Cricetulus griseus: one gene and its partners. The protein of the gene in region 1 purifies or fractionates together with the protein of each later gene. This does not show direct contact. Links are inferred from orthologs where the notes say so. Each region holds a gene or a part of one and is shown in the gene's direction. Other genes may lie near its edges.

The links.
Region 2: the proteins of Zmynd8 (region 1) and Znf687 purify together in Homo sapiens (affinity purification with mass spectrometry; 4 studies listed by BioGRID and IntAct, with this or other methods). This does not show direct contact. The link is inferred for Cricetulus griseus from reciprocal best matches to the Homo sapiens genes ZMYND8 and ZNF687.
Region 3: the proteins of Zmynd8 (region 1) and Mta2 purify together in Homo sapiens (affinity purification with mass spectrometry; 3 studies listed by BioGRID and IntAct, with this or other methods). This does not show direct contact. The link is inferred for Cricetulus griseus from reciprocal best matches to the Homo sapiens genes ZMYND8 and MTA2.
Region 4: the proteins of Zmynd8 (region 1) and Kdm5a purify together in Homo sapiens (affinity purification with mass spectrometry; 3 studies listed by BioGRID and IntAct, with this or other methods). This does not show direct contact. The link is inferred for Cricetulus griseus from reciprocal best matches to the Homo sapiens genes ZMYND8 and KDM5A.
Region 5: the proteins of Zmynd8 (region 1) and Csnk2b purify together in Homo sapiens (affinity purification with mass spectrometry; 3 studies listed by BioGRID and IntAct, with this or other methods). This does not show direct contact. The link is inferred for Cricetulus griseus from reciprocal best matches to the Homo sapiens genes ZMYND8 and CSNK2B.
Region 6: the proteins of Zmynd8 (region 1) and Mta1 purify together in Homo sapiens (affinity purification with mass spectrometry; 3 studies listed by BioGRID and IntAct, with this or other methods). This does not show direct contact. The link is inferred for Cricetulus griseus from reciprocal best matches to the Homo sapiens genes ZMYND8 and MTA1.
Region 7: the proteins of Zmynd8 (region 1) and Mta3 purify together in Homo sapiens (affinity purification with mass spectrometry, with the first as the bait; 3 studies listed by BioGRID). This does not show direct contact. The link is inferred for Cricetulus griseus from reciprocal best matches to the Homo sapiens genes ZMYND8 and MTA3.

The regions. Positions count from the first base shown.
Region 1 is NC_048599.1:13,607,232-13,610,731, forward strand, and holds part of Zmynd8 (protein kinase C-binding protein 1), read left to right. Parts: intron 1-1,213; coding exon 1,214-1,723; intron 1,724-3,500. UniProt on the Homo sapiens protein: Chromatin reader that recognizes dual histone modifications such as histone H3.1 dimethylated at 'Lys-36' and histone H4 acetylated at 'Lys-16' (H3.1K36me2-H4K16ac) and histone H3 methylated at 'Lys-4' and histone H4 acetylated at 'Lys-14' (H3K4me1-H3K14ac).
Region 2 is NW_023276806.1:61,486,012-61,490,213, forward strand, and holds the start of Znf687 (zinc finger protein 687), read left to right. Parts: upstream 1-1,402; 5' UTR 1,403-1,540; exon of another isoform or gene 1,541-1,574; intron 1,575-1,725; exon of another isoform or gene 1,726-1,841; intron 1,842-1,904; exon of another isoform or gene 1,905-2,045; intron 2,046-2,851; exon of another isoform or gene 2,852-3,320; intron 3,321-4,202. UniProt on the Homo sapiens protein: May be involved in transcriptional regulation.
Region 3 is NC_048596.1:51,152,048-51,156,174, reverse strand, and holds the start of Mta2 (metastasis-associated protein MTA2), read left to right. Parts: upstream 1-1,327; 5' UTR 1,328-1,780; coding exon 1,781-1,808; intron 1,809-2,081; exon of another isoform or gene 2,082-2,134; intron 2,135-3,298; coding exon 3,299-3,366; intron 3,367-3,803; coding exon 3,804-3,897; intron 3,898-4,127. Other genes in the region: Eml3 (echinoderm microtubule-associated protein-like 3), read left to right, coding at 1-83, 330-460, 546-749. UniProt on the Homo sapiens protein: May function as a transcriptional coregulator. Acts as a component of the histone deacetylase NuRD complex which participates in the remodeling of chromatin.
Region 4 is NC_048601.1:24,449,586-24,453,085, reverse strand, and holds part of Kdm5a (lysine-specific demethylase 5A), read left to right. Parts: intron 1-462; coding exon 463-642; intron 643-1,522; coding exon 1,523-1,684; intron 1,685-2,190; coding exon 2,191-2,742; intron 2,743-3,081; coding exon 3,082-3,225; intron 3,226-3,500. UniProt on the Homo sapiens protein: Histone demethylase that specifically demethylates 'Lys-4' of histone H3, thereby playing a central role in histone code. Does not demethylate histone H3 'Lys-9', H3 'Lys-27', H3 'Lys-36', H3 'Lys-79' or H4 'Lys-20'.
Region 5 is NW_023276806.1:231,642,975-231,647,118, reverse strand, and holds the start of Csnk2b (casein kinase II subunit beta), read left to right. Parts: upstream 1-1,344; 5' UTR 1,345-1,493; intron 1,494-2,046; 5' UTR 2,047-2,057; coding exon 2,058-2,129; intron 2,130-2,644; coding exon 2,645-2,747; intron 2,748-3,520; coding exon 3,521-3,636; intron 3,637-4,014; coding exon 4,015-4,090; intron 4,091-4,144. UniProt on the Homo sapiens protein: Regulatory subunit of casein kinase II/CK2.
Region 6 is NC_048598.1:180,921,368-180,924,867, reverse strand, and holds part of Mta1 (metastasis-associated protein MTA1), read left to right. Parts: intron 1-1,927; coding exon 1,928-2,002; intron 2,003-2,337; coding exon 2,338-2,396; intron 2,397-2,710; coding exon 2,711-2,826; intron 2,827-3,093; coding exon 3,094-3,245; intron 3,246-3,346; coding exon 3,347-3,500. UniProt on the Homo sapiens protein: Transcriptional coregulator which can act as both a transcriptional corepressor and coactivator. Acts as a component of the histone deacetylase NuRD complex which participates in the remodeling of chromatin.
Region 7 is NC_048598.1:85,409,490-85,412,989, forward strand, and holds part of Mta3 (metastasis-associated protein MTA3), read left to right. Parts: intron 1-1,875; coding exon 1,876-2,024; intron 2,025-2,814; coding exon 2,815-3,037; coding exon of another isoform or gene 3,038-3,060; exon of another isoform or gene 3,061-3,148; intron 3,149-3,500. UniProt on the Homo sapiens protein: Acts as a component of the histone deacetylase NuRD complex which participates in the remodeling of chromatin.

The DNA.
Region 1 (3,500 bases):
AGTGCCAGGATAGGCTCCAAAGCTACACAGAGAAACCCTGTCTCGAAAAAAAAAAAAAAAAAAAAAAGAGTGGGTCATTTTCCCAAGGTCCCACAGATAACAGTTCCTGTGCCCTGTGCTGAATGCTTGCCTACCGCTAATACACGCCTCTGACTGCACCTTCGTTTCAGACCTCATGTTTTCATGGTTGTTGGACCCTGGGGAGTCCAATACTGTTCCCCAGCAACTTTGCTGACCAACTGCCTGTGTCTTGGCTCTTCATGGCTCTTGCCCTTCCTGAGTTTTTCTTTGATGTGTCCAGGCCATTGCACTGGAGTGAAGGCAGTATGAAGAATTGACATGGTTTTCATTCTTTTGGGTTTATTTGTTCTTATTTGCCTACTGCCTGAGCTGGAAGCATACATGTACCTTGTGTGTGTGTGTGACACCTGCTATTCTGTCTCCTTTGATGAGCATAGACAGGTGTAGTTTTCTCTTGCCCCTTGGCAGCGGAAGGACAATGCATTCACATGAGCACCTGAGGCTCTGCAGGCGCACAGGGGGCCAGCTAGAAGGCTGGGCTCCAGGTTATCTGGACACCTGCCTCCACTTAAGGGGTGCAGCAGATTCCACCCTTGCCTGTCTGCTGCTTGCTGCTCGCAGATCCCACAGAGGGTGGTTCCCATGCTGTGTGCACAGAGCCACTACCTTGAGGCCTATGAGAAATTTTTTGGTTGTGACTTGGGTAGAGAATTCTAATTAAAACAAAACAAAAAGACAATGCATACAGGTAAGCCAGTGCTGCCCAGATGGTTAAGTATAAGGGAAGATATACATGGGCCGAGCAGTGGCTGCCATGCTAAGGCTCTGGCCTTCTGGAGCCCTAGACACAGGCAGAAGCCTGCCTGTTCACACTTGGGTGGAGTGCTGGGTCAGGAGCCTAGGCTTCTTGTTTGGTACCCAGTAGATTTAATTTGTGCGTAGACAAGGGCTTCTCTGGGCCCTTATTTTAATGGCTCCCCCATCTCCTCATCAGTCAGTGCTGCAGACTTGACATAAACCTGGCAGTCCGTAGGTCTGTCCTGTCCCTGCTTTTCTTGGATCTTGATTGTACCCCCATGCCCCCTTTCTAGCTGTCCCCATTAAGATGGGGATGCCACTTGAAGGGTGGGAGTGTGTATCCCTCCTGTCTTTCTTGCATAGCTAAGCTGTGCTGGTTTCTTTTTGTCCTTAGGCATAAATGAGATCTCAGAAGATGTTTACACAGCCGTGGAGCACAGTGATTCGGAGGATTCCGAAAAGTCAGAAAGCAGCGACAGTGAGTATGTCAGCGATGAGGAACAAAAGCCCAAGAATGAGCCAGAGGAACCTGAAGACAAAGAGGGGAGTCGGGTGGACAAAGAGGCCCCCGGTATAAAAAAAAAGCCAAAACCTGCAAACCCGGTAGAAGTCAAAGAGGAAGTGAAAAGTAACTCTCCAGCCAGTGAGAAGGCAGACCCTACACCCGCCAAGGACAAGGCAAGCCCGGAGCCTGAGAAGGACTCAGTAGAGAAAGCAAAGCCATCTCCTCACCCCACAAAGGACAAACTGAAGGGAAAAGATGACACGGATTCCCCCACAGTGCATTTGGGCTTGGACTCCGATTCAGAGAGTGAACTTGTCATAGATTTAGGAGAAGATCCTTCTGGGCGGGAGGGTCGCAAAAACAAGAAGGAGCCCAAGGTGCCCTCACCTAAGCAGGACGGTAAGCTACACACACAGCCTGTAGACTGTAAATTTTGTTTGGTGTTGATCAGACTCAGGACCTTGTGCTCTACCACTGAGCTATTACACCTGGTATTTGTGCGATTGCCAAGCCCAGTGTGACAGGGAGTGTCTCGGCCCCCAGCTTCTACAGTGGGAGCCATGGCCTGCACATGGGCCTGCTTGATCCTCAGCACAGAAAAGTTCCACGGTCACTGGTAGCTGCTTCTTATAAAGTTGATTTTGGCCTTAGGTCTGCCTGCTTAAGGTTTTACGTGGTTGAATTGGACCTGGAATTATATAGCCAAGGATGGCTTTGGATTCTCCCACCTCTACCTCCCTTGTGACAGACCACTATATACATACACACACACACAACTGAGCTACATGCCCCCTCCAGTAAACTTCCTTTTTAATATTCAGACATTTGGGTGGGGCTCAGGGATCAAGGGCTCTCTGAGTAGAAAGATCTAGAGGAAGCTTCCCCTTCTCTTGTGCCCTGCACGGGCAGATATATTTTCCTACTAGAAGTAGAATCCATTAGGGGTTGTGGGGCATTGAAAATGGAAGAGACCTTGGTCAGCACCCTCTGGGCAAGATAGTCTGTCCTATGTGCATTGAATGTACCTGAACCAATTCTTTGTCCCTTTCAGTGAAAGTGGTCTAGGTGCAACTCTGGCCTTTAGCCACTAGATGGCAGGAGCACTTGCCTATCAAACATGCCTGTCCCTTTTAGGCAAAGCCTTCCGCCCTGAGGATCACCTGAATCTTTTCAGGCTTGTTGCTATTGTGATGAGCAGTCTGGGCCAGCACCGTCGGCAGTGGGCATGCTGGCGACTTCCCCAGAAGGAGTTGAGTAACAGCAAGTTTTTGGCTGGCCAGAGGACTCCAACGTCATTCAGCTAGGGCCCTGGAATGACTTAAGTACATGGTACAGGGTAGCCTTCAAGCTGGGTGTACTTGGTGAGGTACAGAGGGGTGTCATTTTGCACTGTGCTTAGTTTCTAACAGGAGCCAACTTCTCATCGTAACCCAGGAGTAAGGTATGACCATGTCCCCCACATTCTTGTAGCCTGGTGGCCTAAGGCAAGTCTTTGCTGTGCCCTGAGAGCCTTTTCCCTGTGGGGTGCCCACCTGAGGAGTCTGGAACCTCAGCTCTTAATCGAGACAGATTTCTGTGACCAAGGAAGAAGAAATGAGATACCTGTGCTGGGGAGGGGGTGAGGTGGAGAGGGCAGGGGATGTTCAAGCTGCCGCTTAGGCCAGTTGAAGGCATCAGAGTGCCGCCTGGGGTAGAATGGAGGTAGAGAAGTGCACACACCTGTAACTTCCTCCGTGTGAGGCTCACACTCCTGTGATGCTTAGAATCTCCCATTCTTTCTGATAGAGGCTTTTTGTGCTTGTGTGTGTGTGTGTGTGTGTGTGTGTGGGCCGAAGGATAACTCATGTCATTATTCATGGTGGCAACTTTCTTTACCCACTGAGTCACCTTGCCAGCCCCCAAACACATCTTGATTGACTTACTGTTTGCTCTGGCTTTGGGGAAATGTTTTATATACAAATAAATACTAAGGTAGGCATGATAATGCACTTGGAGGTAGAGACCAGTGAATAAGGAGCTCAAGGTCAGCCTCGGCTTCTTCAGACCCTGTCTCAAACAGAACAGACCAAAGAAAACCCAGACTGTCCCAACTTCGGGGCAATCACAGACAAGAGTTTCCATTGCAGTTGTGAGCTTCTTAGCAGGGAAAGCAAAAAGAGAAGCATGGTTCCTTAAC
Region 2 (4,202 bases), on another chromosome or scaffold:
TGTGAGCTGTGGCCCCTGCAGAGAAAGATGGCCGGTGAGGTGGAGGCTCCATTCATCTGCTTGTTATTATTTTATAAATAGGACCTCTGCATTCCAAGCTTTTCATCCTTGCAAAACTAATCTTGGCAGGTGGATATTATAATTTCCATTTTTATTTTTTCATGAGACAATAGGTTCAGGGAGGTAGAAAGACTTGCCTAATGCCATCATGTGGAATGTGGTGGTTCCAAGATTCCCGTTGTAGCCTTAATAGTCACAAGCTCCCAGGCGGCGCCTGAGATTTCTGAGACCAATGCTAGGAGGCACAAGGGAAGGTTGTGCCTCCTTTTAAAAGCTTTACCAAAACTCTGGGCCTGGTGGCGCAGCAGTGTAGCCCCAGTTACTAGGCAGGCAGGACAACCTTGCTGAAAAGCCGATCTCAAAAAATGAGAGACAGGGTATCGATTCAGCGTTTAGTGCATTTGCCTAGCGTGTGCGACTCTCTAGGTTCATTCCTCGGTATCGCTACAACAAACACAAAACTTGACACGTCGCAAAGTTGGTGGGTTGCTCGCACGGAAAGGGTGAGGACGCGGGTTAAAATAACACACAATCTTTAAAAGCCCTTGCCGTCTGGAGCGGCTGCGTTCGCGGCGGGCGGCGGCGGCGCGCGGCCAGGCGGTAGAGCGCGCGCCAGGTGGCACACTGGGCTTGCAGATGGATCCCGCGAAAGCGTGCAGATGGGAGAGTGTCAAGGCGATTCATCTCCCCGGCAACCCCGCCCCCTTCCCCGCCTCCAGGGGGCGGGGCGGCAAAGCGCGGGAAAGCTCAACCTCAACAGGAACGCCAGCTCGTGCCGGGGGCGGGGAAACAGAGGCGGGCTCCCGCCTTCTCCCGTCTGAGGGGCCTATCAGCACACTACCTTAAGCTCTTTGGCTGTGGCCCAGGCCACGCCAGCACTCCCAACGTCACCTCCCCCACTTCCGGTCCGCAGCGCGTCCCAGGTCCCGGGTCCCGGGTTCCGGTTTGCCCGACACTCGGAATCCCGCGGCCCGTGCGGCTCTCCCGGAGGGAGGGGGAGGAGCCGCACGCCCGGAGGCTGGCCCAGGCGAGGACCTCATCCACCCGGACCATACCGCAGTTCAGACACCGCGAGGACCGCGAGGGGAAGGGTCACCCCGATGACGTAATGTTTGGGGGTGGCGCCCCATTTTGTGAACCCTACACCGCGTCCTCGAGGTCGCGGCTTAGCCTGAAGAAACGTCACGAACGCTTGAGACAGCCGGGTTCCACTCGGGGCTGACGAGATTCCCTGAGGCTCCACACCGCTCGAGTCCCTAAGTTCGCACACACGCGGCCCAGCGGCCGACAGAGCGGGGACGGCCACGCTTCTGGGCTGGTCACCGCCGGCGTCCCAAAGCGGAGACGAAGGCAGGCTCTGGCTTAAGCGACAGCGGCGGTGGCCAATGGCCGCCGAGCTACGCAGATGGGGCAGGTGGACTCCGGAGTGGCCAATGAGGAGAGGCGTCTCCACAGAGCCCAGCCCCTTCGACCAATCGCGGTGAGGAGACGATGAGGGGCCAGTTCCGAGCTGGGTATGGAGGGCCAACCCCGTGCGGGAGTGGGCGGGGCTCAGAGCCGATGGACGGGGCCGTTGGCCAATGGCGAGTATGAAAGCGGGCAGCCCGGTCCCGGGGCGCGGAGGGAGCTGAGGGAGAGGGGAGGCCGAAGCGGAGAGAAGCAGGAAGTAGTGGCGGCCGCGGGGGGCGGCGGCGGCGGCGGCGGGCGCAGCGGCGGCGCGGCGGTGGTGGCTGGGACCGGGTGAGGCCGCGGGGTCTCTGCCCGCACTAGGATCGGAACAAGTAAGCGTGCTCGCCGCAAACACCCGCCCTTGGCTCCGCCCCCCGGGGGGGCGGGTAAATGCCCCTGCCCCTCCCCCACTTGGTCAACTACCCCCTTCCCCGCGCCGCCCCCTGGGGCGGCTGCTTGCCTGTCGGGGTCGCAGCCTGCATCCTCGAGGACCGCTGTGGGAACTCAAGTCTGTTGAAAGCACTGCCCCTAGCCTGGTAACGTGCGAGGGGGGTCCGGGACCCCTAAGTCCTGGCTCTCCTAGACCGAGAGGCCATCGGAGTGCGGCCGGGGGACTGGAGGCTGCGGGATGTCGCGACCTAAAATGGTGTCCGTGCCGGGCGGTGGGGGCGGGGGAATTGGGCCCAGCCATAGCGGAGCCTACATCCCGACCGGGTGCGGGTCAGCGTCCGGGCCCCTGCGGGACTCACGCTGGCGCCCCGAGCCCGCTGCGCGCCTTGCAATCGCTGGGGTCTCGGGAGAGCCTCTGAGGGTCGGAGCCGGGGCAGGCTGCGCGGTGCGCAGAGGGGAAGGGGACCAGGTTCGAGTTGGGTCTGACCTGGCTGCAGAGCTTAGAGTCATTCAGGGACCGCCCCCTCTTGTGTCTCCACTCCCCTCGTGCCACTCCCCACTGCCGGGGAGTCCTGGCCCCCGATGTGCAGCGCCGCAGATCCAAAAGGGCCTGGCCAAGGCCCTGCCGTGAGTTCTTAGCCGATGAAAGTGAAAGAAGCACCACTCGCCTCAGTTTACCCTCCAGTTTTTTTAATGTACTTCTTGTCCCCTACCCGAAACCCCGGGCTTGCTTCCCGCGCCAGTCCCTGGCAGATGGCAGGCACTTAATGCAGCCCGTTGCCCAGCTTGGCCGCAACCTAATCGCCCCCGGCCAGGCTCTGGCCCCTTGGCTTTGCTCTGCGCAGCAGGCCTTGGGCAAAGGGCAGTGGAGCCCCCACCCGACTCGGGTCTGTTCACCCTCTTCCTGTTAAGCCCCTTCTTTTTGTTTTTGGGGAACAGAGGGAAAAGGGGGTTGTGAGATGGCAGCACCAGAGGCCTGGCAGCTGAGTGAAGGATCTTCATCGGCGCTAAACCTCTCTGCTTGGCCCGCTGTCTGCTCCAGGTGGCTATCGGATGACCTCCAAGTCACTTGCACGCCCGAGGGAGGTGGTTGGGAGAGGCCAGTTCGCAGGTGTTTCCTAAGTCCCCATTGGTTTGTACTCCACCGACCCACTCTGCTGTGAGGTTGAGTGGGAGAGTAGCCCAGGTCTCCCCACCTGACGCAGCCGAACTGAAGAGGGACCTAGCAATTCATCTGGGCAGAACTAAGGGCTTTGTTAAACCCAGAATGTACAGAATTCAGTAAGGGGGTAAAGTGCTAGGAGGACTCCCCTTTCTTCCTCTAGTTGGTACCCTTGCCCCCCACCCCCACCTCGGTCCGTGCAATGCCAGCTGCCACCTGCTGGGACTATCTCCAGTTACAGTCTGAAGGCTGGAAAGAGGTGAGAGAATTGGCCCTGGGAAATGGCTTGCATCCTGGGCAGGGAACATGTAAAAGGGAGTGAATTTGTACTTTTCTCCATTGCTTCTTCCTACAGAAATACTTATGGTTTAGAACTGATGGAGGTTAGAGCTTGGGTCTCCATAGTCTCTGAGTTGGCCTTGTTGCTTTAGTGACACATAAGTCTTGTGGGACTTAAAACGCCACCCCCACCCCCCAATCCCTCCTGAGCCTGGATAAGGTTGGGGAGACTTCCTAGGCTACTGTTGCCCAAGAAGTTGGAGTTTGAGTTAGGAGATAGACTAGGTGAGGAGCTCAGAGTAGAAATGACAGTGGGAAAGAGGAGTTTTTTTCCCATTGTGGCAGCTATGTGGATCAGCTTGTACCCTGGAGTTTTAACCCTGGGAGAGCAAGGTGGGGGAGAGAGGAGGGAAGACACTCTGGGGAAGATAGGTGAGCAAGCAGCAGGTGTTTGTGACAGCAGAGGACTCAGCTGGGGCCCTTGTGGATATGCCCCTCCCTTTCTTTGCCTCTTCAGAGTCTTATTCTTTCTCCGTTGAATTTATTTCTCCCTGCTGACCATGCTAGAGCTCCGGGTGCCAGGAGTGGCTCCAGGTCTTTCACACATGACTTTAGATGGCCTCTGACTCTTATCTCTGACCCTAGCTCTAGGTGGCCAGTGTATATTCCTTCCCAGTGCAGCCAGCTCCTCCTTGACCTCACATGTCCTTAATTTGGCCCAGCTGCAATAATAAATTGTCTTCTGGGTTGGACACTCATGCATACAATTTTATGTTTCTAGAAGAACTTTGATAAATGGATTACTTGTTCCCTCTTTGAAACAGCAAAAGTAAGGCAATGAAGTAACTTGCTTGAACAGCAG
Region 3 (4,127 bases), on another chromosome or scaffold:
CTGCAAGCTTCTAAGGAATCGCTATGAGAGCAGAGACCGGGAGTGGGCTACCTACACCTGTGTGCTAGGCTTCCACGTGTATGGTAAGTAGTGAAGCCAGCATGCAGCCGAGCCCTTTAGCAGGGCTGGGAAAAGAAGGTGGAACCCATTCTTGGATCAGAATGTTGGGTGTGTGTCATGTGTCATGGCGGGGGGGGGGGGAGAGGCAAATCCAGGCCAACAGGTCCCTTTGGGAATGGAGAGGATTGTCTGGAGGTAGCCTGGAAATCCTAAGCACTGCAGCTCTAGGTTGTGGAAAGTGCCCTGGCTGAGGCTACCTGTTGTGTTAGGTGTGTGGCCTGATGGCTCTGATGGGACAGACATCAACTCCCTTTGCCGCTCCCACAATGAACGTGTGGTGGCTGTAGCAGACGACTTCTGCAAAGTACACCTTTTCCAGTATCCGTGCGCTCGAGCCAAGGTGAGTCTTTAGAGGACCGTTGGGCCCCAGTGGGTAGTCTTGGGACCCTATCACTGCTGTGACTGTACATTTTTTTCTGGTGCAGGCGCCAAGCCGTATGTACTCAGGCCACGGCAGTCACGTGACTAGCGTCCGGTTCACGCATGACGACTCATACCTCGTCTCCCTAGGTGGCAAGGACGCCAGTATCTTTCAGTGGCGAGTGTTGGGCGCTGGGGGCTCTGGGCCCTCTCCTGTCACGCCTTCTAGAACTCCCTCTCTGTCCCCTGCCTCCTCCCTGGACGTGTGATGAATGCTGGATGGTTTTGTCCCTCTGGTACTGTGGCCTTGCCCCGCCCTGGCCAAAACCCCTAGGACCAAGTGCAGCCCTTTTCCTGGGCTGGCTTTTTCTTTGATTTCAGTACATTCCCAGTTGCGCATTTTCCTGGAGGGGCGAACCGCCCCATTGCACACACGATAACGACTCGCTGGCTGAACCAGGCAACCCCAGCTCTGACTCCCTTTGCCTGGTGAGGGGCAATAAAAAGAAAGAAAGTCACCGCTTGGTGCTTTTGTGGAGTGCGGCGGTTGCCTCAGGGGCCCGGTAGGGTTGGGATGAAAGAAAAAAGTGCAGGGCGGGAAGGGAAAAAAGGAGCTCGGACCAAATATGCAAATAACAGGCAAAGCGGCTTGCAAATAACCTCAAGAAGCGCGAGGGTGCGCGCGCGCCTTGCGAGGCCACTGTCGGAGCTGCAGGGACACATAGAGTAAAGAGTTAAATGCGGCTCCCTGCCGCCCTCGGGGGCGGGGTCGAGCTGCAACGGAAATAACCGAGCGCGGGGCCGCGGCTGAGCGAAAAGAGCCGAGTTCCTTCCGGAAGTGGCCGATCTGCGGGGTCTTGCTCTCCGACCTGAGCCGAGCGCTGGGCCTTGTTCTCCGGATCGGCCGAAGGTGTTCCGGAAGGAGGCGAACCCGGACGCGGGCAGGGCAAACCTTCTCAGGGGCTGGCACCATACGGCGTCTGCTGGGACTCGGTGAAGACGCTAGGAGCCGGAATCTGTCTCCGGTCAGGCAGGAACCGAGCTCGTTCCGGAAGAAGCCGAGCAGACCGGCGCCGGCCTGGGTATCCCGGGCGTGAGGCTATAGCAGTGTCGTCGTGGTCTTCGTGCGAGCAGTGATGAACCGCGACGGCTGAGCGAGCAGAGGTGCCGGCTGCGCGGGCCCCATCGACACTTCCGCGAAGCGTCAGCCCCACGCTGGGGGCATCGTCTGGAGCTAAGCTTTACCCCCGCGAGCCTCCGGGTCCTCTTTGTGCGGCCGGAGGCCGCGGCGGGAACGGCCATGGCGGCTAACATGTACCGTGTGGGAGGTGAGTACACCGGGCGGAAGAGGTTGGGGACGGGACCAGGGAGACTCGGTGTCCGCAGGCGCGGGGAGCAACATCTGGGGTCGTAGGGGCCACAGCGCCGACCGGAACCGGAACCGAGACCTATGGTTCCGCGGCGGCGACGCTACTGGGAGCCGAGTCTCCCGCAGAGGCTTACCTACAACGATCGGTGCTCTTGAGTCTGCGACTGGATCCCGGGGTGGGAAGTAGGCTTGGTTTGGAAGGGGACTGAGTGACTGCGGGGCCAGCTGCGGGGAGCCAGTCGCTCAGGGGTTTTCTTTTCTTTGGCGGCTTGTTCGTTCACGAAGGTGAGGCCTGAGGTGGGGGGAACAATTTACTCAATTCTCCCACGCAGGGGTGCAACTCCAATGCAGAGTTGTGTGGACTACAGGGAAATCCTTGTTATCTTTTTCCCCCTCCTCTCTCACTTCTTGGTTTTTCGACTCTGTCTGTCTGTCTCTTTGGTTTTTCGAGACAGGGATTCTCTGTAGCTCTGGCAGTCCTGGAACGCACTCTGTAGACCAGGCTGGCTTCGAACTCAGAGATCCTCTTGAGTGCTAGGATCTGACTTTTGAGTGAGAATCTGATTTTAGCGCTAAGTGTTGCAAGGGTGGGAGTAAAAACTTTTCTCCCTCCCCCCCCGCCCCCCCCCCCCGGCTGTCTTAGAACTCAGGAAATAGACCAGGTTGGCATCGGACTCAGATCCACCTGCCTCTGCCTCCCTCTGCTGGGATTAAAGGTGTGAGCAATCACTGTCTGGATAATTCTTTTATTTCTTTTCTCGTTCTTTTTTTTTTTTTTTTCCTCGAGACGGTTGATACTTATTTTCTTTTGTTTTCTCGAGACAGGCTTTCTCTGTCTATCCTTGGCTGTCCTGGAAATTGCTCTATAGACCAGGCTGTCCTCGAACTGGAAGAGATCTGCTTACCTCGGCTTCCTGAGTGCTGTTGGCCACCACTGCCCAACTAATACTTTTCTTTTGCGGGGGTGGGGGGATGGGGGGTGGGGTTCGAGACAGAGTTTCTCTGCGGCTTTGGAGGCTGTCCTGGAACTAACTCTGTAGACCAGGCTGGTCTCAAACTCAACAGGGAACCACCTGCCTCTGCCTCCTGAGTGCTGGGGTTAAATGCATGCGCCACCACCTTCTCTAATACCTATTTTCTTTTCTTTTTTTTTTTTTTTTTTTTGGTTTTTCGAGACAGGTTTTTCTCTGTGTAGCTTTGGAGCCTATCCTGGAACTCGCTTTTGTAGACCAGGCTGGTCTCGAACTCACAGAGATCCACCTGCTTCTGCTGGGATTAAAGGCGTGCATCACCAACACCCAGCTATACTTCTTTTCTTAAGTCTTTCCTCTTGCACATCTCCACATCTCTACCTAGCATTTTGTCTTTTTTTGGTCCACCCAAATCCACTTTCTCTTCTGGGTGCTCTGGTTTTCTTCTGATCTTGTTTCTCCCCACCCCCTTCTACAGATTACGTCTATTTTGAGAACTCCTCTAGCAATCCTTACCTGGTTAGACGGATTGAGGAGCTAAACAAGGTGAGTGGAGCAGAAATGGAGCAGTTTCTTTCTTCTGGAGTCTAACTCCAAGTGGAAGGGAGAGCCAGCCTTACCTAGGCTTAGAGCCTATACAGGTGAGCGAGCGTTCATTCCATGTATAGAGCTGCTGAGAGCTTAGCTGAAGCTTTATCATTCTCACATCTGGGGATAAAAGAATCCTGTCTCTGTTGTTTTTTTTTTGTTTTTTTAAATATACAGTGTCTATTTTGCAGCCTTGGTTGCCTGGAACTTTCTGTGTGATCAGGTTAGCAAACTTATGGAGACCCATCTCATTGGTCCTGTAATTATCTTTGAATATTAAGTCTTCATTGCTGAGTTTTTGGCCTCTTCTACTTAAGTCCTTAGAGAGTGCCTGTTAGTGTACCTCCACTTTCAAATGGCTAATTTTCATTGCCCTGTTTTTCTTCCTTCTTTAGACTGCCAATGGCAATGTGGAAGCAAAGGTTGTCTGTCTCTTCAGGAGAAGGGATATTTCTAGTAGCCTCAACAGCCTGGCTGACAGTAATGCTAGTGAGTGTCTTCATTCCTTCCCCTTTCCCCCCTCCCCAGGATCTGAGGACTAGACTTGTTCCTGCAGGTGTTTCCCCTGGTAACACGCCCAAGGCAGGGTATGAGTTTGGAGGTGGGAAGTGCCTGGTCTGCAGAGCAAGGCCTGTTGTTACATGTTGGGGCTGGGGCTGGAAGCCGGGTGGGGAGACCATGATCAGAAAAGCCAGAATGTGGTGTGTGTGTGTGTGTGT
Region 4 (3,500 bases), on another chromosome or scaffold:
TATTTATTTATTTATTTATTTATTTATTTATTTATTTATTTTGGTTTTTCGAGACAGGGTTTCTCTGTGTAGCTTTGGAGCCTATCCTGGAACTCACTCTGGAGACCAGGCTGGCCTTGAACTCAGAGATCCGCCTGCCTCTGCCTCCCTAGTGTTGGGATTAAAGGCGTGCGCCACCAATGCCCGGCTTAAATTAATTTTTATAAACTTTTTTTCTGTAAAATTTGGAATTAAATTCATTAAGGTGAACAATTGTTGGTTTAGCACAAAATTTAGCGCTATGACTAAAGATGTCCCTTAGTGGTACAGTGCCTGCCTGGTGTACGAGACTTGGGATCTATTCCATGCTTAGTATTAAAAAAAAAAAAAAAAAGTTAATATTAAACCAAGTTTCCCCAACAGTACATTCATTGCCAGACTCCATGAAAGAATTAAAATTGTGTGTGAATCTACTTTTTCCAGAGTGGCAGCAACTATGCTTATTTGGAGCAGCTTGAGAGCTTATCTGCTAAAGGACGCCCTATCCCTGTTCGTCTTGATGCTTTGCCTCAAGTGGAATCACAGGTCGCAGCAGCAAGGGCCTGGAGAGAACGGACTGGGCGGACCTTCCTTAAGAAGAATTCCAGCCATACATTGTTACAGGTGAAGAATAATGCATATGTGTGGTCTGCAGCGCTCTCATAGCAGTTGACAAATCCCTACCTGTAGTGGTGTTGGTGAAGATTCTTTTCAGTTAATTTAGTCATTATTATAATTAATTTCTATTAATTATAGAATTAGGTAGTATTAGGTGTTGAATTGAAACCTGAAGTCTTAAGCAAGTTCTTTTTTTTTTTTTCTTTTTTGTCTCATTAATCTGTGCTTGTATCCAGAAATAGCAACCAGCATATATCTTAACCTCTGTTAATAGACTCTACTAAAATGTTTTATCCCTCAGAGACATAAACTTAATCCTTTTTTTTTTTTTTCTTTTTTAAGATTCTATTTATTTATTATGTATATAGTCTTCTGCCTGCATGCCAGCAGAGGGCACCAGATCTCATTCCAGGTGGTTGTAAGCCACCAGTTGTGGGGAATTGAACTTGGGACCTCTGGAAGAACAGTCAGTGCTCTTAACCGCTGAGCCATCTCTCCAGCCCAACTTAATTCTTTTTATCCTGAGCAGTTGAACACAATAGTTAAAGATGACAGACTTTGGAATTTCAACCTTTATCCTTGGACAAATTATCCCTTGTCTCTCTTATCAATAAAATCTGGAAAATAATGCCTGCTATGTACAGTTGTTATGAAAATATAAACAGATAACATACATGGATCCCTGGTGTGGCTGAGGTGAGAGGTTCACCACAAATTGTAGGGCAGCCTGCACTACAAAATAAGATCCTGCTTCTAAAATATGAGAATAAATAGTTACTTTGTACATGGTGAATGATTCATTCATGGTCACTTTCACTCTCAAGGGTTTTAATTTGTTTTGTTTTGTTTGTTTTTAACTAGAGTTATATTTTTTTCAATTTTGCAGGTGCTAAGTCCCCGAACTGACATTGGTGTATATGGGAGTGGTAAAAACAGGAGGAAAAAAGTAAAAGAAATAATAGAAAAAGAAAAGGAAAAGGACCTAGACCTTGAGCCTTTGAGTGACTTAGAGGAAGGACTGGAGGAGACCAGAGATACAGCCATGGTGGTAAGGAACTAAGTGATGGGCCTTGAATTTGTTTGTGAATGCAAAGCTCTGTGAAAGATGTTAGTAGTAGGTTTTTAACTGTTTATTTACCTGTGTTATTTATGGGTGTGTGTGTGTGTGTGTGTGTGTGTGTGTGTGTGTGTGTGTGTGTGTGTTAGTATTAAAAGTTTGCTGTTTGTTCTCTTCCCCAAAGGGTTTATTTTTCTTTTTCTATTCTTTCAATAGTCTTTAAGTCCAAGAGCCAGACTTGGATTCCTGGTACCTTGGTACCAGGTGCTTGGTGCAAGTGCTTGATCTGAAGAAATACCCTCTTTGTCCTGTGCCCTACAGAGAGTACTCTCATATAAAATGTCAAATATTATAGCAGTTTGTCATTTTACAGATGAGAAATCTTTATGTGGAAACTGGAAGGGTAACCCACATTTCAGGAAATTGCCATTGGCGTTCTTGGATACTTTGTGGGTTTTTCAAATTACTCTCCTTAATTAAATGCTTGTTGTATACAGGTGGCAGTTTTCAAAGAACGGGAGCAAAAGGAGATTGAGGCCATGCATTCCCTCAGAGCAGCCAACTTGGCCAAGATGACAATTGGGGACCGCATAGAAGAAGTAAAATTTTGTATTTGCCGGAAGACAGCCAGTGGGTTTATGCTACAGTGTGAGCTCTGCAAAGACTGGTTTCATAATAGTTGTGTTCCCCTTCCTAAATCAAGTTCCCAGAAAAAGGGATCCAGCTGGCAAGCTAAAGACGTAAAATTCCTTTGCCCTCTTTGCATGAGATCTCGAAGGCCCAGGCTAGAGACTATTCTGTCATTGCTGGTATCCCTTCAGAAGTTGCCTGTACGGTTGCCTGAAGGAGAGGCACTTCAGTGTTTGACAGAACGTGCCATGAGTTGGCAAGATAGAGCACGGCAAGCCTTAGCCACAGATGAACTGTCCTCTGCCCTGGCCAAACTCTCTGTGTTAAGTCAACGTATGGTGGAACAAGCAGCTCGAGAAAAAACTGAAAAGATTATCAGTGCAGAGCTCCAAAAAGCAGCTGCTAATCCAGACTTACAGGTCAGCTTCTAATTTACTTTCTTGTGTTTCATGTAGTAGTATTTCTCAGTTTTTGACTAGTAAATTAAACGGATTTAACTTGTTTACTTAGGTAGAAAATTGGCTATAATTGGCCAGCAGTTATATGATCCATAACATTTTCTTCCTTCTGCATACATGGCCTTACTTTTCTTCAGGTCATTTCAGTGAAATACTATCTGAAAATATTCAGGTAGACTATAGCATTATTTATTTTCTTTTAGCTGCTTTTTAAGTAAGTTAGTTATATTTTATTGATGTTAAACATGTATTAATTACCTGTTTGTTTAATCTGTTTGTCTGTTCATTTTTGTTGTTTAGGGACATTTACCTAGCTTCCAGCAATCAGCTTTTAACCGGGTGGCGAGCAGTGTATCATCTTCCCCCCGCCAAACAATGGACTATGATGATGAGGAAACGGATTCTGATGAAGATATTCGAGAGACATATGGCTATGACATGAAGGTAATTACAGGGGCAGGCTAGGAATACATTTCTGGTGAGTTCTATTTTTAAAACTGCCGACCATTAATACTTGAGGACTGAGGGTGGAAGAGAAACCTACTTACATATTAGTCTTGAGTAAGTGGTGATAGCAGTTTTTCAAAACTTAAAGGAAAAATAAAAACTGAAACTTTAAAAAAAAAATCTTATGTTTGTGGTGAAGTGTCCCTGCTATGGCTATTACAAGGTCAGAGGATAACTTGGCAGATTCAGTTTTCTGCTTCTACTATGTGGAT
Region 5 (4,144 bases), on another chromosome or scaffold:
GTAGATTAGGTTCTTTGTAGAATGCTCGCCTCGAATTTGGGAGGTCTGGGTTCTATCTCTACAACAGGAAAGAAAAAAAAAATGATAATAGGAAAGAATGTTCCCCCAGGCACTTGTCTAGGGGCCCTGCGTTCTACTCCCTTCTCCCTTCAAACAAAAACAGCAGGCTGTCTCTGAAAACCTTTTCCCACCCTGTAACACATACCGTTAGGGAATATCGGCCGGGACTTTTAAATCTTGCTCGATCTTACGTGGGGCTGGGGGGGGGTGTCTCCTTTTCCCAAAGAAAAACAGGCGTGACATCATTCCAGAAGGTGTCGGGGTAAAAGCGTTGCACTGTCACTTCCGTACCGAAAAATGGCGCTCTCGTCATCTGCAAGAGTTGACACAATCCGACACCCACCTGGCACAGAGACGCATGCGCAGCAGCCAACCACAACAAAACACCCACAAGGTTCAGTTTCCCGCGCTGGAACCTTCCCAAGCATCCGCGTCAGGCATCGCGTGCCCAGACAGCGCGAGGGCCCAGGGGGACCTGTCGGTTGGGGTCCTACTTTTACATAACGCCCCCACAATGCTCTTCGCCACCCTCGACGTGGTCCCTCCCGCTCCAAGCCCCTCTTGTGGAGCCGGGAGGCCTGAGGACGCCAGGGAGCCGCGGGATGCCGGGCAGCCGCGAGACGCGCTAACACCACGGCGCCCCTCACCGCTACTCCGAGCAGGGCTCGAAGAGCAAGCAGCTCACGTGGGGTCCGCAGCAGCAGCAGCAGCAGCAACAGCAGCAGCAGCAGCAAGCAGCAGCAACACATGGAGAAGTGCAAAGGGATGAGCGGCAGAATGGCAGGCGCCACCTCAGGTTAGCGCGCGGGGCGGTGCAGCAGGTCCCCCGCCCCCGCCGCCCGGCTCGGCAGCCCAAGCCCTGCGACCTCAGCCCCGCACTCCGAGCCGCACCTCCGGGCCGCATGCCTGGTCCTCGGCGACGGTGTCAGTCCCCGGGGCGGCAGGGACGACCGGAGCGGGACGGAGCGGGCGCGCAGCGGGGACCTCAGCGGCCGCCGGCGCCGGCTCGCAGCCTGCCGAGCCCAAAGCGCGTAGGACTATATTTCCCAGGCTTCCCGGTCGGGAAGGCGGCTGTAACCTGGCTTCCGCTTCCGGTGGAGGCTCGGCTCGCCCCGCCCCCAGGCGGCTTCCGCTAGGGCCTCGCGACCCCGGAGTCATGCGCGCGGACTCTTGGGATTGGTGGTTCGCCGTCCCCGCATCGCGTCACTTTCTGCCTCTCTACGGGACTCCATTTCCCGGCGTCCCTAGGGGCAGGGGCGGTCCTCGGCGCCTGCGCGTTGCCCTCTCTCCCTCCCCACCCTCCCCAGTTCCCCTTCCCCCCTCCCCACTTCGCCTGCCGCGGTCCGCTCGGCTTCCTGCGCTGTAGCGGTCGCTGCGGTTCCTTCGAAGCTCGGCTCCCCTTCCCCGCCCCAGTCCCAGTCCCCGTCCGGCCGGTGAGTCTGCGCTCGTCCCCGCGCCGCGGCGCCGGGCTCCGCGCTCCGAGATGTGGGGGCGAGGAAGGAAGGGACCGGGTCGGCGGCCGAAGGAGGCCGGGTGGCCTGAGGAGAGGAGCGGCTGTGGGGACGCTCGTGGGTCCCGCGGGGGTGCGGGGCTCCCGCCGGCGCCGCGAGGCCCCGAGAGGCGGGCTCGGGGGGGAGGATGGACTCGGGAAGCCTCGGGACGGGCGCCAGGCGAGTGCCTCGGTGGGGCCGCGCGGGCCGCGCGCGGCCGGGGGCCGGGGGGCCGGGGGGCCGGGGCCTGGCCTCGCGCCGGGCAACACCCACAGATCGGGACCTGTCACCCCCTGGGAAGGAGTGGAGCTGGTTCTCACCACGCTGTCGGGGGGCTGAGGTAAAGAAGAGAGGCGTGGAGAGCGGTGCTTCACGGGCCGGGGCCACTCAACGCCAGTGGCCTCGGATTCCTCCGCCGTTGAGGAGACCGTGTGTGTGGGAGGAGGGAAGAGACCAAGAAACAGCCTGGTCTCCACTTAACGCCCTTCTTCCTCAGCCGACGTAAAGATGAGTAGCTCTGAGGAGGTTTCCTGGATTTCCTGGTTCTGTGGGCTCCGTGGTAATGAGTTCTTCTGTGAGGTGAGTTTAGCTGGCTTTCTGGGCCCTCTCCACGTGCCCTCGGTGTTTTCGTTGTATGTTGTCTGAGATGAGATTTCCCCCGAAGCTGACTGTGTAGCCCAGACTGTCCTTGAACTCCTGGCAATCCTAGTGCCTCAGTCTCCTGAGCGCTGGGGTTCACTCTGTGCATGGCTAACAGAGGTATCGCTGGTGACCGTCAGGAAAGTTAAAATGTTTCATGTAACATGAAAACCACAGTGTGGTAACGTAGGAAATGATCAATGCCTGTGAGAGTCTGATGTCCCAGAGCAGAGAGCAAACCCGGGTCCTTTAGAGGAGGGAGACAAGTTGAATAATGCGCTGTACCTTGTTGGCCCGGAAAGAAGAGAGCTGCGGTTTCTGTGGGAGACGGAACACCTCTGCAGAAGTGAGAATAGGAAACAAGGGGAGCCGATGCGGTCGTTTGTCTCCTGGGCCAGGTGAAAGACGGGGCTTCCCACACTAGTTTCAACCTCTTGACTCCCCTGTCCCGGTAGGTGGATGAGGACTACATCCAGGACAAGTTTAATCTGACTGGACTCAATGAGCAAGTGCCTCACTACCGGCAAGCTCTAGACATGATCTTGGACCTGGAGCCTGGTAACGTGCCTGCCCCCAGGGCCGTCGCTGCGTGTGGGGTCCATGATATGTGCACTTGTGTGTGCTTTGGTTTCTTCTTATTCTGGTCTCTGCTCGCTTGCTTCTTGAATTTTTCTCTTTTCTTTTTCGGTTTTTCCAGAAGGGTTTCTCTGGCCTTGAACTCACAGAGATTCACCTGCCTCTACCTCCCGAGTGCTGGTGTTAAATGCATGTGCCACCACTGCCCAACCGCTTCTTGAATTTCTAAATTTCCTTTTGATTCTCTAGCTCTTCTGTCTATTCCCGAGTCTCTTGCTCGCTTGTTTGTTTGTTTATGTGTTTTCTCCCCCACCTCTCCTCTCCATTCATAACCCAAACTGGACTTTACCACTTGCTCTTCCTGCCTTGGCCTCCACGTGCTGGGTTTTGTATGGCACATACACCACTGCCTGGCTTCTTCATTATTTTGATTCCCTACCTGACCCTTGCCTTCAGGGACTGGTAACATTTGTTTCCATGCTCTCCAAATGTAACTCCACTGTCTCTCACAATGCCAGTCTTCTGGTGTGTTGTGTGCTGCTGCTTTCCTCCTGCTGGTCTAGAGTGCCACCCTCTGCAATTATGTTTATGTGTTGGGAAGGGGAAGAAGCTGGCAGAGACTAGAGAGGTGTGGAGAGAGGGCAGTGCTGATGGCCTGGGTGATGGATAGGGTGTGTCAGAAACAGGTGCTGGATAAACTGTAGGAGGCCACCTTGGGGATAAGGTGGGGTACAAGTGGCCATCCCACCTTTCAGATGAAGAGCTGGAAGACAACCCCAACCAGAGTGACCTGATTGAACAGGCAGCGGAGATGCTTTATGGGTTGATCCACGCCCGATACATCCTCACCAACCGAGGCATCGCCCAAATGGTGAGGCTCTGCTCCTGCTTCTGAGGCAGTGAGACAAACAGGTGCATGAGGCAGAAGGCATGTTTCGTACCTGTCAAGAAGTCTAGCAGAGGAGACGAGGAGAAGCCCAGAGCTGGGCTGAGAATCCAATCCTCACTGAGGGTCCTACTGAAGGTATTGTTTTCAGGGAGGGAGATGAGGCCATGGATAGGGAACAGAGAGAGCAAATGGCCCTTGTGTTCTGCAGCCTGCCAACTTGAGGAAAGCAGTTGAGAAGGAAGCTTGAGGACCTGTCTTGACAAAGAAGGGCTTCTAGTTAGAGGTGGGAGGCCTGGGAGGTGGGGAAGTGAGGTGCTCTGCACACGTACTCACCAGTCCCTTCCATTTTGCACACCTCAGTTGGAAAAGTACCAGCAGGGAGACTTTGGCTACTGTCCTCGTGTGTACTGTGAGAACCAGCCAATGCTTCCCATCGGTGAGTGTTGGAGAGGGGAGAGGAGGGCACTACTTGCCAGTCAGGTTGATGTGG
Region 6 (3,500 bases), on another chromosome or scaffold:
GGCACCCTCAAGACTTCCCGGCTGCTTGGACTCGTTTCTGTTTTGTTCTTAACTAAGCTGACCCTCCCTCCTGTGTGCAGTGCCAGCCAAGTCTTTACTATGATAGAGCCTAAGCCCTCAGAGCCCCCCAGCTCCCCAAAGGACTGAAGAGTGGGATCATGTCTGTATGAGCTGAGGCAGCTGGGCCACCTTCCCCACAGCCTTGAGGAGATAGGGTTACTAGCATCCAGGATGTAGTGAGTGGAATATGTTACCCACTGGAGTACCGTCAAACAATGCCGATAACCCCAGCATTCAGGAGACTCAGGCAGGATTATGAGTTTGAGACCAGCCTGGGAAATAGTGAGAACCTGCTACAAACCCACAAACAAACCCAGTAGCAAGCCTAGGCCAGGGTGGGAGAGCCAGGAGCGTGCAGGGTGCTTACTCAGGCATAGGCAGAAGGGCTGAGGGAGTGTCTGTCTCTGGGAGGCCCAGGTGCTGGTCACTCCCATGGCCCACAGAACCCACAGTCTCTGCTGGACAGCCTGGCATGTAACTGGATTTGAAAAAAAAGTACAAGCTTTTTAGACAAAAAGTAGAATGAGAAGAACGGGACAGAAAGAAAACAACAGTGGAACAGAGCTGGCAATGTTTGAGGGGGGCTGGGCGTGGCTGCTACAGTGGGGGACAGCCCTGCAGAATCTGCACGTTCCTAGATGCAGTTCAGCAGGTAAACTGAGTCTGTCAGAGACCCAGAAGAAAGGGCTGCAGAGCCACCTGCTAGAGGGCAAGGCCTGCTGGCTAGAGGGCCAAGTGAACCAAGTACAGAAACAGGATTCTGCACAGAACAGACAAGCCCACCTTCTGTGTCACCCGGTGCTGTCGTGGGTCTGCTCTCAGGAAATGGTTCGTGTAGATCAAGCTGATAGATATTAAAGAAACAAAGTTTTCAGGTGACATTTCTAACCATCATGCCAGCCTTAAAGACTGAAGCCCTAGCCTTGAGGCATAGCTCAGTGGTAGGTAGGATGCTGGCCTTGTATAGGCAAGGCCCAGGGTTTGATCCCTAACACTGCCAGAAAAACAACCTGTTGAGCCCTTTTTAATTAAAAGTGCCATTTTAGCCTGGCATTGGTGGCGCATGCCTTTAATCCCAGCACTTGGGAGGTAGAGGCAGGCGGATCTCTGTGAGTTCGAGGCCAGCCTGGTCTCCAGAGCGAGTGCCAGGACAGGCTTCAAAGCTACACAGAGAAACCCTGTCTCAAAAAAAAAAAAAAAAAAAAAAAAAAAAAAAAAAAAGTGCCATTTTAAACAGCAGCTTGAGGTGTGAAGACTAAACTTCAGTCATTTGGCCTGAGGCTTAGGCAGCACTGGAGGGAGGGCAAGGTGAAGGGGCTCTATACACTGCTATGTGCTGAAAGATAAAAGCCACTCCAGCCCCTCAACACTGAGCTAAATACGAAGGTGGAGGACAACTAACCCAGAGAAGCAGCAAATATGTCTTTCCAGCTAAGGTGAAGGGCAGCCCGACTGCTGCAAGGGGTCTCTCCTCCTGGGTGGGCCCCCTTGTGCACCTGAGAATGGGTAGCTCGTGACACCCATCAGTCCATGGTCCAGTCTGCCTTTGGCAAGAGACCTTGTGCTACGTTGTCTCCTGGCGGGAGGCAGAAGGGCAGGCAACGGGGTCTGCCCATCTTGTCCTCTTCGTCTCTGGTCCTTGGTAAGGACAGAACCAAGTTCTTGTCGTCTTGCTCAGGTCCCAGACTCAGACATAATGGAAATGACTCTAGCGTGGGTGTTGAGGGGAAGGTCAGCCACACACTCCTGTGGTTAGCACTGAAGGAGGGGGACCAGAATTGACCTCCCAGCACTGCCCTTGCCACCCTGCTCCCTATCTGGGCAGTAGTCCAGTTCCTACCACCCATGATGCCTTGTCTCACCCCAGCTCCCCTGGAAATCGCTCACCAGCATCATTGAATATTACTACATGTGGAAGACGACCGACAGATACGTCCAGCAGGTGGGCCCTCCCCACAACCTACCTCGTCCCTCCCCACAGTCTCTGTGTAGTCACATTAATTTGTTCCCAAAGACCTCCCCCTAACCCTGGAGCAAAGAGGAAGAAGCCATGGTCTCTAGAGGATGCACAGACAGGAGGAAGGGACATTCCTGAACCCTAGCCACCTGAAGCCTCCACTTCCTGGCCCTAGGATGGCCAGAGAGAGCCATGCAAAATTTTCTCGAGTCTTTCCCAGGGGAGCCAGTGATGGAGAAACAATGATGTTCCCCTCCCTGTGGTCTTCTAGCTGCCCTGGCCAGCCTGGTGACCTTCATAACCCTCTGTTTTGTTTTAAGAAACGTTTGAAAGCAGCTGAAGCGGAGAGCAAGTTAAAGCAGGTTTATATTCCCAACTAGTAAGTCCATTCCTATGTTCCTGGGGGCCATTGGTGGATGGGCAGTGACTGTGGGGCTCTTAGGATCCACTGGGGTCAGGCGGCCTCCTGAGCTAAGTCAAAGAACCTCCATCACCCTTTTCATGAGCTTGCTTAGCTTGGGAGGAGGGGTCAGGACTCGAGTTCCTTTGGCCTAGGAGTCAAGCTGGGTTTAGTGCTCAGCATATTGGGGCATGGGGTGTGGCAGCGAAGACACAGTGAACCAAGGGGACAGGGATGTCTGCTGGGATACAGACACTGCAGGGCACCTGTGACTGATCCTTCTCCTCCATCAGTAACAAGCCAAATCCAAACCAGATCAGCGCCAACAGTGTCAAGGCCAGTGTAGTGAATGGCACAGGGACACCAGGCCAGAGCCCCGGGGCTGGCCGGGCCTGCGAGAGCTGTTACAGTAAGTGCTGTGCCTGGCACCCACCCTGGGCAGCAGGGGCCACGGGAATGCTACTTCGTGGCTGTGGTGCTCATGGGACCTCTGAAGGCCCCTGTGCCCAGACCTGGAATGACTCGCTGCAGTGGTGCTGCCGGGGGTGGGGGTGGGGCTAAGGGGGTGGCGGGGGTGGGTGGGATGAGTGTGGTGGCGGTGGGGACACTGTGGGATGCTCTCTGCACCGTTGGTTCTGCTTAAGAATCCGTCTATCTCCAACTTTGTTGTCCGTAGCCACACAGTCTTACCAGTGGTATTCTTGGGGTCCCCCTAACATGCAGTGTCGCCTCTGCGCTTCTTGCTGGACATATTGGAAGAAATACGGTGGCTTGAAAATGCCAACCCGGCTAGATGGAGAGAGGCCGGGACCAAATCGCAATAACATGGTAAGTGCGGCATGCCATGCTTGTCGCCTGCCGCAGGTAGGCCTCAGGCCCTTGGCCTCTAGTCACGGTGCTGTGTTGGGGTGGTGTGCTCCGCTCCACAGAGTCCCCACGGCATCCCAGCCCGGAGCAGTGGGAGCCCCAAGTTTGCCATGAAGACAAGGCAGGCCTTCTACCTGCACACTACCAAGCTGACACGCATTGCCCGGCGCTTGTGCCGTGAGATCCTACGCCCATGGCATGCCGCGCGACACCCCT
Region 7 (3,500 bases), on another chromosome or scaffold:
CCTGTGAAGCCCAGTGTGGCCTCTAACTCACTATCCTCCTGGTTCAGCCTCCTGAGAATTTAGAATGTGCCACCACAGCACAATGACATTTCTTCTTTATGTGCATGTTCCTAAGTGAGTACACATGTGTAACGACAAATCGTTACACATGTGTGTGCAGGTGGATGTATATATGTGCGTGTACATTTGTGTAGGCTAGGGGGATGACCTCAGGTGTCCTTATTTATATTGAAACAAAGTTAATTTGGGGGCTGGAGAGATGGCTGGGTGGTTAAGAGCACACACGGGTCTTTGAGAGGACCTTTTTGGTTCCCAGCACCCGTCTTAAGTGTCTTATGACCACCTGTATGTAACCTTAGCTCCAGGGTGTCCAACACTTTTTGGTCTCCAAGGGTATTTGCACTCATATACACATACATGTAATTAAAATGTTTTGATAAAATCTGTCTTAAAAAGTCAACATTATTGTTTAAGTTAAAAGAGAAAAGGGGGTTAGGCTTCTCTTTAAAAGCATTTTTCCAGCCGGGTGTTGGTGGTGCATGCCTTTAATCCCAGCACTCAGGGAGGCAGAGGCAGGTCTCTGTGAGTTTGAGGCCAGCCTGGTCTCCAGAGTGAGTGCCAGGATAGGCTCCAAAGCTACACAGAGAAACCCTGTCTCTAAAAACCAAAAAAAAAAAAAAAAAAAAAAAAAAAAGCATTTTTCCAAGAGTAGTATATGACACCTGGGTGGTGGTGGCAGCGGCACACACCTTTAATCCCAGCACTCAGGAGGCAGAGGCAGATGGATCTCTGTGAGCAAGACCAGCCTGGTCAGAGAGTGTTCCAGGACAGCCAGGGCGACACAGAGAAATCCTATCTCAAAAAACAAACAAAAAAAGAGTGGCACACAATGAATGTGTAAATTATTCTGAATTCTATAAAGGCAATTAAATGTAATAGCCACTATATTTTCTCTCTCTTTTGGGTGGGTGGCAGTAGGGACCAGACCTAGGGCCTTTGCGTGCCATCGAGCCATATTCCAGCTCAGCCTTTCCCCTTTTCCTGTTGTTTGTGAGGTGTTCCTTAGTTGGCACCCTCCTGTGCTCTCTGGCGGCTTTGCCCACATGGAGGTAACTTACAGCAAAGGGGAGGACCACTGGCAGAGTTAGCATCATAGTCTCTACCTTCGGTTTTAACTACCTTTCACCACCACTGTTTCTGCCTCTCTCTGCCTCTGCCATGGGAAGCTTTTGGTGTTTTGCGACAGGGTTAAGCTGCAGAACCTGACACAGGCCGTGTGTCCAGCCAAGCAGTCAGTCTGCTGGGGTCAGGCCTTACCAACCATGATACCATATCAGCCGAAGGTGCTTGCTCAGCTGATGGGGACTTACAGTCTTCAGGGAGAAATTCTAATAAGGTTTTTGTTTCCTGAGTAAAGGAACTACAGATGGATTTCTAGTTTTATCTGGTTCCTGACTTAACCAGTAAGTCCCCTCTTGAGTAATTTAGCCATCTTGGCAAGAGCTCCTGAACCATACAGTTCAGATTTTAAACACTACCAAGGAGCTTAATAGCCATAATATCCTTCGGAAGACTTATTTCTAGACATGTACATAATGAAATCACTTTTAATTAACAAAACAAAATCTCAGCAGCCTAAGCATAAATCAGGATGTGTCATCCAATAGCGTCTCTTAATAGACGAGACAAACACTGATGTGTGGCAGAAACTCAATGTGTCCAGAGTGCTGAAAAATGCTTGTGTGTGTGCTGTGCTTCCACGCTTAGCCGACAGCCTTGGGAACACTGTAAACTGGCTGTGGCTTCAGGGTGCCTCCAAGGTTTCAGTGTATTGAGACCACGACTTTCATAGTATCTCTTTCCCCCTGTCTTTAGCCACACAGTCTCACCAGTGGTATTCCTGGGGCCCACCTAATATGCAGTGTAGACTGTGTGCGACCTGTTGGCTGTATTGGAAAAAGTATGGAGGTCTCAAAATGCCCACACAGTCAGAAGAACAGAAGTCTCCCAGTCCTTCTGCAGAGGTACGCAAGTGCACTCTTTGTGGGGCGAAGACGTCACATTTCCCCGTTACTGGCTTCTTCTTGGAAGCAGGGATGCTATACAGAACAATTTACAAATGAACAGAGCTGAGTTTTAGAGTTAAACACAGCACTGCATACTTAGGGTGGGTGTGAACATGGAAACAGAGGGAGACCAGTCGGATTTTTCTTTTTTCAGGTATTCAAAATATTGGTCTCTTGAGATTATTCAAACAAAAGAATAATGTGTGTGGGAGGCGCTTGCCTGAGTGGAGAGCTTACAAATAGTCTTGTTTTTAAAAACAATTTGTAACCTTTAGGTACTGTTGGAAACATGTTTTTACATAAAACAACAAACAGGAATTAAACATTCTCTTCCCTCCGCTGTTGTGGAGGGACAAGAAGAGCCCCATCTTGGGTGAACAGTAATTGAAGGATGACCGTGGTCATCCTCATAGACTCAGGATGTCAAGTGCCAGTGTCTACCAGAGTGAGGCTAGTCTCTGTCTGAAGCCAGCCAGCTCTGGACTCCTCACAGTAAAACCCAGCAGCATCTCACTGATAGTGCTTGTGGGCTGGGATTGCGCGCCACCCTGCCATGTTGTACTCCCCACGTTCTTTACAAATGCTCACACACGCTGCTTTTTCCTGGGATGGGGCTGCGATTGTTGAGATGCAGTGCTTCTCCCTGGGATGGGGCTGCAGTTGTTGAGATACAGTGCTTCCGAGGCGGGAGTAGCCGTGTGCTCCATCAAGTTCCCCTCTGTAAATCCCGATGTTTTCCACATTGCAGGACCCACGTGTGAGAAGCCACCTGTCCCGGCAGGCCATGCAGGGCATGCCGGTCCGGAACACTGGGAGTCCCAAGTCCGCAGTGAAGACCCGCCAAGCTTTCTTCCTCCATACTACGTATTTCACGAAAATTGCTCGTCAGGTCTGCAAAAACACCCTGAGGCTGCGGCAGGCAGCGAGACGGCCGTTTGTTGCTATTAATTATGCTGCCATTAGGGCAGAATGTAAGACGCTTTTCAATTCTTAACCTTACACGTTCGCTCCTCTCACCATCCTCTCTTTCCCCTCGCTCTCTCTTTTTGTTTGTTTGCAATAAACATAAGTTCTTGTGTACAGCCTTTGTTTTTTTTTTTTTAAACATTGTTCTTGTCTGCTGCCATTTATATCATGCCACCCTGAAAACACAACGTTGAAATCCCTGGGAATTTTCAGAGTAGAGCTAATCAGAAGGCGGGGAAGGTGACCTTACCCAGTGGACTTTTGTGACACAGTGTCCAAAGGGACCTTAACCGAAGCACTCTGCCTGTTTGGTAGTGCGGCAATGTAAACCCAAGGGGTTGTCTTATGATAAAATTCCCTGCTGAGTCAGCACAGTCCTGTCTTAAGGATTCATTAGGTTTGAATAAAATACACTAATTAATACTAGCTAGTCTGTCTTGGCAAACCTCTTACATTCCCAGGAACCTC